Mus musculus: one gene and its partner. The protein of the gene in region 1 binds, or shares a complex with, the protein of each later gene. Links are inferred from orthologs where the notes say so. Each region holds a gene or a part of one and is shown in the gene's direction. Other genes may lie near its edges.

Region 1 (5,216 bases):
GGAGGCAGCACTGATTCCAAACTGTGTGGAGCTTGAGCACTAGGAGCCCTCAAAGCTCTTCAACATGTGTCACTCTGTAACGCACATCCTCCAACAAGGCCACACCTATTGAAACCATCACACATGCCTTCTGAAGTATTGCAGCCAAGGGTGCTCAGGACAACACTGTGGCTAAGTTATCCCTTCATTGCTGCTTAGGTGTTGAATGTGTGAAAGGTAATCTGTCACAGAGAATAGGGAGCTTTCTTGGTGCCTTTTATAAAATGTCAGTAACATTTACAGTGACACCTAGATTTTGAAAAAGAGTGTATGTGGCAGTTGTTTATTAAGTAGATAGCTAGCAAGGTTCAAGCACCATAGTAGCCACATAAAAAGGCAACTTAATTTGAAGGAAATTACTTTTCCCTCATGGTTAACAGTTCCCATTGGTATGCTTGGCCTGATATAGCTGTTAACAGTGGATTGAACTAGAGATTGCTATTTCCTTTTCTTTCTCTCCCTCCCTCCCTCCCTCCCTCCCTCCCTCCCTCCCTCCCTCCCTTCCTGGATTTGGGAGTATGTGTGCAGTATTTGGTTTTTATATAGCAACAGCTGGCAACCCAATTTTTCAAAGAAACAGTGTCATGAAGTAGTGTAGCACACTCTGATGTTGAAAACCAGATGTAGGCTAGGCTAGCACATGGTGTGGTGTGTATCCTGTGTATCCTTATGAATTCTAAGCCTCACAGATGTACTTGTGGATTGACTAATAACCTAGAATTCCTTGATTCAACACAAACCTATTTAGCTTTCTAAAGTAAATCCTAAATCCTTAATTATTATTCTAGTATTAAATATTATATATTTAACAATGTTTTTATTTACTGATTTGCACTATTATTATTTTGAGGTGACATTTCACTGTTGCCCAGAGTACTCTCAAAGTTGTGAGCAGTCCTCGTGTTTCAACCTCCTTAGTAGCCAACACAGTAAGTGTGTGTTACCATATCAGATACCAAGTGTGTACTATGTTAGATATACAACAGATACCAGTTAACAAGCTAATAATTAAAGATTAAGAAAATTAGGATAAAGTTTAACATTTTTGACAACATTCATCTTACGTTTCAACCACCTGGATATATATTGTAAAAATAATTTCATTTCTCTAAGTATGTACATTTCTACTTAAGCATGTATAGCCTCAGGATGACCTTGTGTTATAAAGAAATACATCTTTTTCTAGTATCTACTAATGAGCTAATAGTCTCTGCTTCAAATTTTTAACATTAATAAGACTTAATTTCTGAATTTTATTTTAATAGTGGCCAATTCGCCATGGTATAGTTGAAGACTGGGACTTAATGGAAAGGTTTATGGAGCAAGTGATTTTTAAATATTTAAGGGCAGAACCTGAAGATCATTACTTTCTTTTGGTAAGTACACATTCTGATTTATTGGAGACTCCCCCTTTTTCTACATGGGATATATAAGCTCAGGATGGCTTTAAACTCAGTATCATTCTCTCTTACCTTCCCAAATGCTGGGTTATCAGGCCTGTGCCTTGATGCCTAGCCTACTAGGAAAATTTTTAAGGAACATTTTAATGTTTCTGGTGTAATTAGCAAGCATACTTAATCATTTAAGTTGTCTTGTCTGAAAGACTTTGTTACATAAAACTAGGTCATTCTTAAAACCGACTGGCTGCAGGTAGAGTAACAATGTGGCCAAGCACTAAAGTGTAATCTTGTAAATGCTTTTGGTGGTTAATATGTAATCATTACGCTATCACCCGAAAATACTTGTTTATTCCGTCACTGACAAAATCATGGGAGGGAAGAAAGTTTGCTTTCAGCTCAGTTTCTGAGGCTAACCTCCACAGTTGTTTGGCTCTATTGCTTCTGAGCCTGTGCCTAGTGAGATAGAGCATCTCTGGGAAGCAGCTTCTCTTACTTGGTTTTTAAACGATTTGATAGGGACTTCTAACTTCCTAGTAGAATAAGTGAACATTGCCTTTTTTTCCCCTTTTATCATCTCACAACATAAAATGACTGTCATATTTTATGTCTTTTTTTTTTTATTTGAGTATGAGTTTTGCTAATCTAGTGTTTAGTGTTTCATTGTGGTGCTTTGTGAATACTATTTGTAGCTGGACTTTATTTGTAGTGAAAAGAACATAACTGTAGACACCTATATGCCTACAACCTAAGTGCAATAATTAACATTTCAGTATAATTACATTTAGCATAATTGTTTTGACATGTATTGGTTTATCCATCTGTTAATCTGTTTTGTTTTTGAATCACATCAAAATGAACAATATACAGATGAGAATCAATTCATGCTTAAACATTTAGTATGTCCATCATCAAACAGTTCATTATTTGTTTATATTCTTTTTCATTTTTTTTTTTTTTCAATTCAACATGTCCTCTTGTTGGGCTTTATTTAGCATGCCAAAGGGGTCAGCAAGATTGTCTACTAAATGACAATCTTTTTTTTTTCCTTTTTTTTAAATTAGGTATTTTCCTCATTTACATTTCCAATGCTATCCCAAAAGTCCCCCCACTCCCCTACCTACCCACTCCCACTTTTTGGCCCTGGCTACCCCTGTACTGGGGCATATAAAGTTTGCGTGTCCAATGGGCCTCTCTTTCCAGTGATGGCCGACTAGGCCATCTTTTGATACATATGCAGCTAGAGTCAAGAGCTCCGGGGTACTGGTTAGTTCATAATGTTGTTCCACCTATAGGGTTGCAGATCCCTTTAGCTCCTTGGGTACTTTCTCTAGCTCCTCCATTGGGGGCTCTGTGATCCATCTAATAGCAGACTGTGAGCATCCACTTATATTCTTTTTCATATAAAGTTTACTATAAAAAAAATCACAAAGCTAAATCATTCTATAGATTTTGACCAGGTGTGGCAAAAGAAAAAGGGCCAGATAGTGGTAGGTATGTAGTAGGTAGGTAGGTAGGTAGATAGATGTGATAGATAGTTTAGATAGCTACCTAGGTAGGCAGACAGACAGACGGATGGATACTAAAGAAACCAAATGAGAGCGTAGCAGGTTTTGTTACAGCTATCCAGCTCTACTGTAGAGTGGAAATAGCCATAGACCATACTTAATGTAGTCAGTAAGTATAAATGTGTTTCTGTAAAGTAGTTTTTCAGAATTAGGTGATTGGTCCACCTTTAGTTTTAACAGCTGTAGTTGTGTAAATAACACATTATCAATACCTTTTCTAGTTAATTTATGCTCCTTATTCCCTAGAGGTAACCAGTGAATCATTCTATTTTAATTTTATTTTACAAGTGAGATTAATCTTGCCTGTAGTTGGTTTTTACACTGATGAATTCGTATAAGATGTGCTATAGTAAAATTTACATCATGCAGTTATGTATGACAGTCTGGCTCTTTGAACATTCTTGTCCTTATAGACATTTAATCTCATCTCTTTTGTGGATTTGCTCTGCTGCAGGGCAGACACTTAACTGGTATAGAACTCTGGCCTAGGGTGACTCTTCATCCAACATTGTAATCGAATTGCTCCTGCATTTTAGCCTGTTAATCTCTTTTAATTTTAGTCATTATGATTGTTGATTTGGTCTTAGTTTGCGTTTTCCTGGTGGTGACTTGTAATGATATTGAACAATTCAGTTTTTTAATTGAAAATAAAATTTTCAATTATACTAAAAATTATAATAAATGTGTTCTGATTATAGTTCCTTTCCCCCAGTTCCTCGAAGATCTTTCTAACTTTCCCCCGAATCCATACCCTTTCGTTTCTATCTCATTAGAATAACAAACAAGCATCTAAAAACATAAACCAGCCGGCATGGGCAAAACAAACGGGGAACAACAAGAGCAAAAGCGGAAGGAACACACAGACACTGAGAATATGTTATTTTTGTATATGTGTAGGTCTGTTTTACTCTCTATGGTCTTCCTGTAGTCTTTGTGTCTTTTTACCTATAAATTTAGTGCCTTTCAAATTATTTTATAAATTAGTTCCCCTTTAGAAATTGCCTATAAAGTTTAAAGTGATCTGATACTGTCTATTTAAAATACCATTCAATTCAATAGACTGAACCTCCACTGAATACTCCAGAAAACAGGGAATATACTGCTGAAATAATGTTTGAATCCTTCAATGTTCCAGGCTTGTACATTGCTGTGCAGGTAAGTGGCTTATGCTTATTTAAGCTTGCCTTTTACATTTTATCCAGGCTTAATTTTCTCCTAAACCATGCATATCTCTTTTCCTAGAAAGCTTTAGCATAATTTGAATCATACCATGCTTTCCTGAGGTGACAATTTAGACACGGTAGGGCTGTGCTTGCCTGACTTCTCGGTGCTACTCGTCACTCATTTAGTATTTGTTTCTTTCTTTGGTGTGCAAAAGTCAGTAAGATTTCTGTAATCTGGTTGGTATATTAATATATACATATTCTAGTTTGGGTTCTTTTAATATTATGTGAAACTCTTCATTGTTAAACCTTTAAAAATATTGTGTGCTGGTAAGCAGTCATTGTATTATTGAAATGATTTTGTTGTTGTTGTTGGGTGATGAGCCATGGCTGCAATCTCAGGAGTCTGAAGCCACATGATTGTTGGGAGGTTTTTTGGTTTTTGGGCTTTTTTATTTTGTTTTTAAAGGAGGGTAGTAGACTAAATACCTCTTGGTTCCTTTTTTTGTTACATTGTAAGCAGGCAAAGTTAGTTTTATCATCTGTTTTTAGTAACTACTCATATATTTTGATTTTAAGAAATTACCTTTTTTAAAAAACTGATACTCAGTTTACAAAAGTTACCCCCATCCCCTTCCCCACCCTGGGAAGAGTTGTTTTGTATCAGCCATCATGAGATTCTTGGTAGGAAAGTGGTATTGTGTGCTACTGGTTTTCTAGTTAACTCATGGTGTCTGGAAGTGTGTATGGCCTTTTCAGTTAAGGTACTTGTATACTGCAGCTTGCACTTAGGAACTTCTGAGTTCTGAGTTTTTAAGAGTAGTGCTTGCTAGCTCATGGTGATGACAGGATATACTGGTAGTTTGTGGTAGTCTGATATTTAAGCTTGGGCAAGGTCGTGCTGTGCATGTTACATACATGTTTGTGTCACTCTTGCTTGTGGCTCTAGGAAGAGAGCGTTCCTTTTAAACTCTGAACTTTCTAAGTATCCTGATGCAGTAAGAGGCCCATGAACTGTAGACAGTATGTAGTCTCATTACAGCTTACTT
Region 2 (5,900 bases), on another chromosome or scaffold:
TCTCAAGCTCCAGCTGCAGGGTGTCCAGCTCCTCAATGCCAATGCCATCGTCCTCGGAGCGGGCCAGCACTGCCGTGTAGCGGGGACAGACCTTCAGGTGGTCCACAGACTTGAAGTCATGAAACTGCAGTGGACAGTCCTTCAGCTCGCTCATGGCCCAGGAGGTGGGACCCTGTAAAATTAGAGGGGAGAAGGCCATTGGATAGGAGACAAAGTAGCATGGGGAGAGAGACCCAACAGAGCCCTGACTGTACCCCAAGCTAGGTTGACTTCACTGAATTATGCACATAACCTTAAAAGGGGGGCCTTTTGCCATGCTTTTCATTCATTCATTCATTCATTCATTCATTCAACATAATTTCTCTGTATAACAACTCTGGCTGGCCTGGAATGAACTCTATAGACCAGGCTGGCCTTCAATTCAGAGATCACCTGCCTCTACTGGGATTAAAGGCGTGTGCCACCACTGCCTGGTTTCTTTCTTTTGACAAAGAAAGGAAAAAGACTCCAGAAGAGTATGTACACATGCCTAGACTCCTAACTGCAATTTATTGTCTTTTTTTGTTTTGGTAGCACTGAAGGGTCTCACACATCTCCAGACCCTACCTCACCCCCATTTTGGGGTGGGGGAGACAAAAATCTCATTATGTAGTCTTGAGTGGCCTGATACTCATTTGCTACATAGATCAGGATTCATAGAGCTCCCCCTCCCGACCCCCACCCCAGAAAGCACCTGCCTCTGAGTGCTGGGATAAAGATATGCACTCAGGTTGGTCTCAAACTAGCTATGTAGCCAAGGTTTTGTCTCCACCTCCCAAGAGATGGAATTTTAGGCATGTACCACACCTGATTTATACAAGCGCTTGTTCATTCTAGGCACAAATTCTCCAAACTTAATTATGTTACAGTTACATCCAGCCCCCCCCCCCTTTCATGAATTCCAGGCCTTGAACTTATGATCCACCTGCTTTAGCCTCCCAAGTCACTAGGTGTACAAACCTGCATGATTAGGCCGGCCTCCTAGTTGCAATTTGAACCGCAGAAGTCTGGAATCTGCAGCATTAAGGAAGAGGAGATACTAGTGTGCCCTGTCTTCCTATGTCCTCTGTTTCCCTACGTTGGGTCGTTTCTAGCATTCTATTTGACAGGGTTCTCCCTGCCTCCTCTTGTCTCACTCCATTCCACCTCTGCACCTTCTCTGTGTCCCTGGCTAGTTTGGAACACAGGCTGGTCAGGTGAACAGAACTAAGTTCCAGCCCATTTTCTTATGTGCGTTTCTAAACATGTTATTTAACCTGAATCTCCGGTTTTTGTTTGTTTGTTTGTTTGTTTTTCTTTTTTCCAGGACAAAAGATGATGCCTCAGTCTATTTCCCCATTAAGAAGTATAAATCTGTAAAATGGGGGCATCGAGAATTACCTACCTCCCTGGAATGTTCTGAGGATTAAGAGGTGATGCTCGTCAAGTGCCCAGTTCAGTGCCTGGCACAGAAGTGGGACTGCTTAATGGCTGGCTCCACCTGTGTGTCGCCCCAAGATCCCGCCTCCAGGGTCCTCGTCCTCTAGGGAGCCCCTAACACAACCCCCGCCTCTCCTACCTCCTCTCTGCGGCCTCCTACAGGCCCTGGGCCGCAGGAGGGGGCGGGGAGTTCAGGGCGATCGGAGCAACTGCTCCGGAACTGGCTATGGGCGGGCCCCCTGCAGTTGACGCGAGGGCGGGGACGGCCAGCCCAAGGTGGCCTGTAGGGCCGGGGTGGGGGTGGGGGTCTAAGGCCACCTACGAATCTCCGGGAGGTGGAATGCTAGGCCTGAGGAGTCCCGGGCTAGGAAGCAGCCCGGGGCTGGGGTGGGGCCCAGAGCCCAAATCTCAAGGGACTGGCTACCCGGCCGAACCCTACGGTTGCAAATGGGAGGAGCCCGGAGAGGATAGGGGAGCACCACCGGAAGAAACGTTTCTCCGGTTCGGCCTGTCCTAATTTGGTGCCCAACCTGAGGTCGGGCTGTACTATTGTCACACGGGGGGAGGCTACAACCAAAGCGACAAGCACTAAAGGCGCTGGCGGAATATGTGTAGCGATCCAAGGGGACTCGACCGCTACTGTCTCATAGCAGGTCTTCTACAAGTCCCAGAGGTCCCAGTGTGAAATCGCCCCGGAGATCTGAATATCTCTCGGCTCTCCCTCCCCGGTCCTACCCGAGATGGTCCAGCCCGGAAGTGCTGTCGGAGACTGCGGCTGCGCCTCTCTCGAAAGGGCAGGCGTCGCGGGTCCGGGCACTTCCGCACTTCCGCTTTCCGGCCCAGACAGCGCCCGCGATGGTGAGAGACCAGGGGTTGGGGTCCTCCCTGTGTTTTGCCTGTAGAGGCTGTGGGTCTGGGGGAGATGCTGCTTGCCGCTAGGGCTTGCGGCCCGAGGTTGCCCCGGGATGAGGAGGCACGGGGAGGATGGAGAGGCAAAGGGTGGGGCGAGGGCCGAGGCGAGGAGGAAGGGGCGAGCCAGGAGGCTCTCTGAGCAAGAGCAGGCCCGGAAGCTTCCAGGTTGGGAATCCCGGGCTAGAATGACCTCTCCCCGATGTTCGGAGGGGGCAGGAGACCGGGCTGCGAAGCCCGTGGTGGTGGCTTGCAGCTGAGGTAGGACCGCTCTGCGGGGCCTCCTCTCCGTCCACGGTAGAGGTTGGCTAAGTACAACCCCCTGTCCCTGCCTGCCTTCGCGGTCTCACGGGACCTCGAGGCAAGTGTCCACTTCATCTTCTTACTTCTTGGCGCTTCCTGGAAGCCTTGCCTTCCAGCTCCCAATGAAGGTTCTGTGTTGCTTGCCTGCATTCAGACTCCTTCCTAGATGTGCAGAACCGTGTTGACCTTAACGTGTGTAAATGTTGATGGCCGCTGGTCCTCCTCTTTCATGCTCGGGTTTGGGATCTGTGGGTGCTCCGTGCAGTTGTTCTCCGAAAGGTCCCAGGCTTCCCACTACTTTCTCTGGTCAGCCCTTGACGACCTGAGTTCTAAAGGCTGGACTGCTTGTTGCACGCCCGGGAATGCTCTCAGGGAAGAGACTTTGAAATTAGACCCTCTTTTTCAAAAGTCACTTTTTAAAGCTTGCTCCAGTGTTAGTCCTAACTGGTTTCATTCCTTAGCGTGAAAGCCATTTCCTGCTGACTGAGTTTTGACTTTGCGTTTTTAAGCATTCAAGTTTATTGTACAATTTCTTCAAGCCACTAAAGGGTAACTATCACAGGGCTGGTCATCTAAAATTTAGTTTTCTTTCAATGAACCTTGACAAAATAATCAGGTAGCCACAATCGAGGTAGAGAAAAGAATATTCTATCACTTTCCCAACGGTACTTGTCACCGCACACAACTAATTTTGCCTTTCCGGTTTTGCCTCTTCTTGGTTGACATAAGAGAATGCTGTGGTATGGAGCTAGAACCCACTGCTGAACTACATGACAGCTGTTTTTTAGCCTTTATCCCCTCTGTCTGATGTTTGTCTGTCCGTGATCCTGTGCTTGTCTCCGCTGCCCCACGCAGCCTGTGCCTCTTCTCTGCCACAAGTCTCACTTCCTTCTCCATCCCGTCCTCCAGAGAGCCTCTGTGCAGCGGTAGCCCTGTAACTTCCTTCTCAGAAAGTCCCAATGCTTCCTGCTACATTGAGAGAAAAACTCAGTGGAAAGCATTCTAGACTGTCTAGGGTTTTATCCCAGCCTGCCATTGCAGCCTGATCTGTGCAATTTAAAGCAGTTTTCACATACAGAAACCTTGCACTCGTTACCAGTTTGGAAAGTCTTAATGCTCTTGTGTAAATCTAGCCCTGCTTAAGTTAGTTCATTTGTTCATTTACTCTCCAGAAAATTGGTTTGACCTGATGTATAGGAGGTGCTGGGCTAGATACAACCTGACAACTGAATAGAAGTTGATGTCTGTAGACCACGAGAATTACAAACTGGTGAAGGAAAAATTTATTCCTAACGTTCTGTTGTGAATTTTATGTAAAGTGAACATACCATAAACTGTAAGAAATGCATTGAGGGGGAAGTCAAAAAGGCCACTTTGAGGAAGGAAGGGGCCTTCTCCACTGAGCTGAGCTCTGAGAGGCTGAGCTAAGCTGCGGGGAGGAAGGGCTGCAGGTGATGGATGCTCCAGCATGTGATAAGCCCTGGGGGGAGAGAAGCCTTGCCCGAGATAATGTAGCTGGTCATTGTAGCTGACCTTGTCCACTGAGAATGGACAGCTTTTACTTTTTCTCATTGTAGAACCGTCCTGATCCTGTATCTGGTCAAAACCAGTTTCTTTAGACAGTCTAGATTATTTTTAAGACTAGCTAGTTTTATATGTTGCCCTCTGTTAGCCCTTGTGATTCTCGCCCAGTTGAGCTGTTTGAGGGTAGAAGAGAGATCACTTCTGAATTCCCAGCAAGTTCAGGACATGGATTGATACACTTGTCAGTGCAGTCAGCAGATAGGGATATGGCTCCTTCTAGATCATCAGCCTTACCTAGCTCTGGCACTGGTGATGCTGTGTAATTCTGTTGTGCATGCCAGGATATTGCAGCATGTCTTGCCTGTGTGCACTTATATCTGTAGTATCCCTGTCCCCAGGCTATGACAGTCAACTATTTCTTCAAACTTTGTGAGATGCCAAGCTGGATTATCTGCTGCTGGGAACCACTCGAGATTTTGAGTGGACTGCATCTTGAAGACTGGCTGTAGTCTGTTCTGTGTGACAGCCCTGCAGGAAGCCTTCGGTACTGCCTGTTGTGTAGGAGCTGCAGTGAGGGACTGGCTTTGCTTGGCTGAGGCAGACTCTGACCCTTCCTGTGTCTTGGGTTTATTCCTGCAGACTGCCACTCTCCGCCCCTACCTTAGTGCCGTGCGGGCCACGCTGCAGGCTGCTCTCTGCCTGGAGAACTTCTCCTCCCAGGTCGTGGAACGACACAACAAGCCAGAGGTCGAAGTCAGGTAGGGAACGAGGTCAGAGTGGGGCCGAGAAGAACATCCCCCAAGAATAAGCCCTGCCCAAGGGGGCCAGGGATCTATGCTTTTGCACTGTCAGGCTACCTTGAGTGACATTGGTCTTGTTGCCAGATGAATAGTTCCTCCTGATTTGGTTAATTCCAAAGCAGGGTCATAGGGCTCCCATTCAGAACCTATGGGAGACCTACCCCAGAGTGTGACCTTTAGAGCAGAGCTCTGGGGACGTGTCTCCAAAAGCGTGACAGCCACCGGCAGCCCCAGAAGGTCACAGGATTTAGATCCCAGAGATGATGCCGCTAAACTTTATTAATGTAAGGATCGAGACTTTTTTTTACTTTTGATCTTTAATATGTCTGACAACTTAGACCTTTTTACACTCCATATTTTGAAAGCAGTCTTCTCTTGACTGGTTTTTATTTCATAAATAAGTATTCTTCCTCTTTGAAATTTCACCTGGCAAGGAGATGATAGAACACTGCTAATCCCAGCACATGGGAGGCTGAGGCAATAGAATCACAGGGACAGGGCTAGCCTCAGCTACACAGTGGATCCTCTCTCAAGAAACCAAAAGCTGCAGCGGGGGTAAATCTGCGGTGTACATAGTTGTGATAAGCCACGCCCCCACATTAGATGATAAAGGTAGTAAACCCAGGTCCTTGGGACAGGCTAGGCACACACTTTACAACTGAACCGTATCTCCAACTCCAATGTAATTTATATGACTCAAACTATTGTAGCGTTAGGATGGACTGCTGCCATTTGAGAGACATGGTATGCTGCGTGCTATTACTTGATATACATGGTTTTCACTGGACATTTTATTTATTTTTAAAGATTTATTATTATATGTAAGTACACTGTAGCTATCTTCAGATGCACCAGAAGAGGGCGGCAGATCTCATTACAGATGGTTGTGAGTCACCATGTGGTTGC

What was found. The genes of interacting proteins can lie anywhere in the genome.
Region 2: the proteins of Actr3 (region 1) and Arpc4 are in contact, whole or in part, in a cryo-EM structure (PDB 6YW6), measured with the Homo sapiens proteins. The link is inferred for Mus musculus from reciprocal best matches to the Homo sapiens genes ACTR3 and ARPC4. Residues at the interface, in NP_005712.1 of Homo sapiens: Lys53, Gly54, Val55, Leu58, Glu121, Glu124, Tyr125, Glu128, Glu132, Tyr400, Glu401, Pro405, Arg409; in NP_005709.1 of Homo sapiens: Lys89, Arg92, Phe93, Met96, Arg97, Glu99, Asn100, Arg156, Ile159.

The regions. Positions count from the first base shown.
Region 1 is NC_000067.6:125,407,463-125,412,678, reverse strand, and holds part of Actr3 (actin-related protein 3), read left to right. Parts: intron 1-1,304; coding exon 1,305-1,415; intron 1,416-4,063; coding exon 4,064-4,159; intron 4,160-5,216. UniProt on the Homo sapiens protein: ATP-binding component of the Arp2/3 complex, a multiprotein complex that mediates actin polymerization upon stimulation by nucleation-promoting factor (NPF).
Region 2 is NC_000072.6:113,375,893-113,381,792, forward strand, and holds the start of Arpc4 (actin-related protein 2/3 complex subunit 4), read left to right. Parts: upstream 1-2,220; 5' UTR 2,221-2,313; coding exon 2,314-2,316; intron 2,317-4,833; coding exon 4,834-4,952; intron 4,953-5,900. Other genes in the region: Tada3 (transcriptional adapter 3), read right to left, coding at 1-172, 1,000-1,005. UniProt on the Homo sapiens protein: Actin-binding component of the Arp2/3 complex, a multiprotein complex that mediates actin polymerization upon stimulation by nucleation-promoting factor (NPF).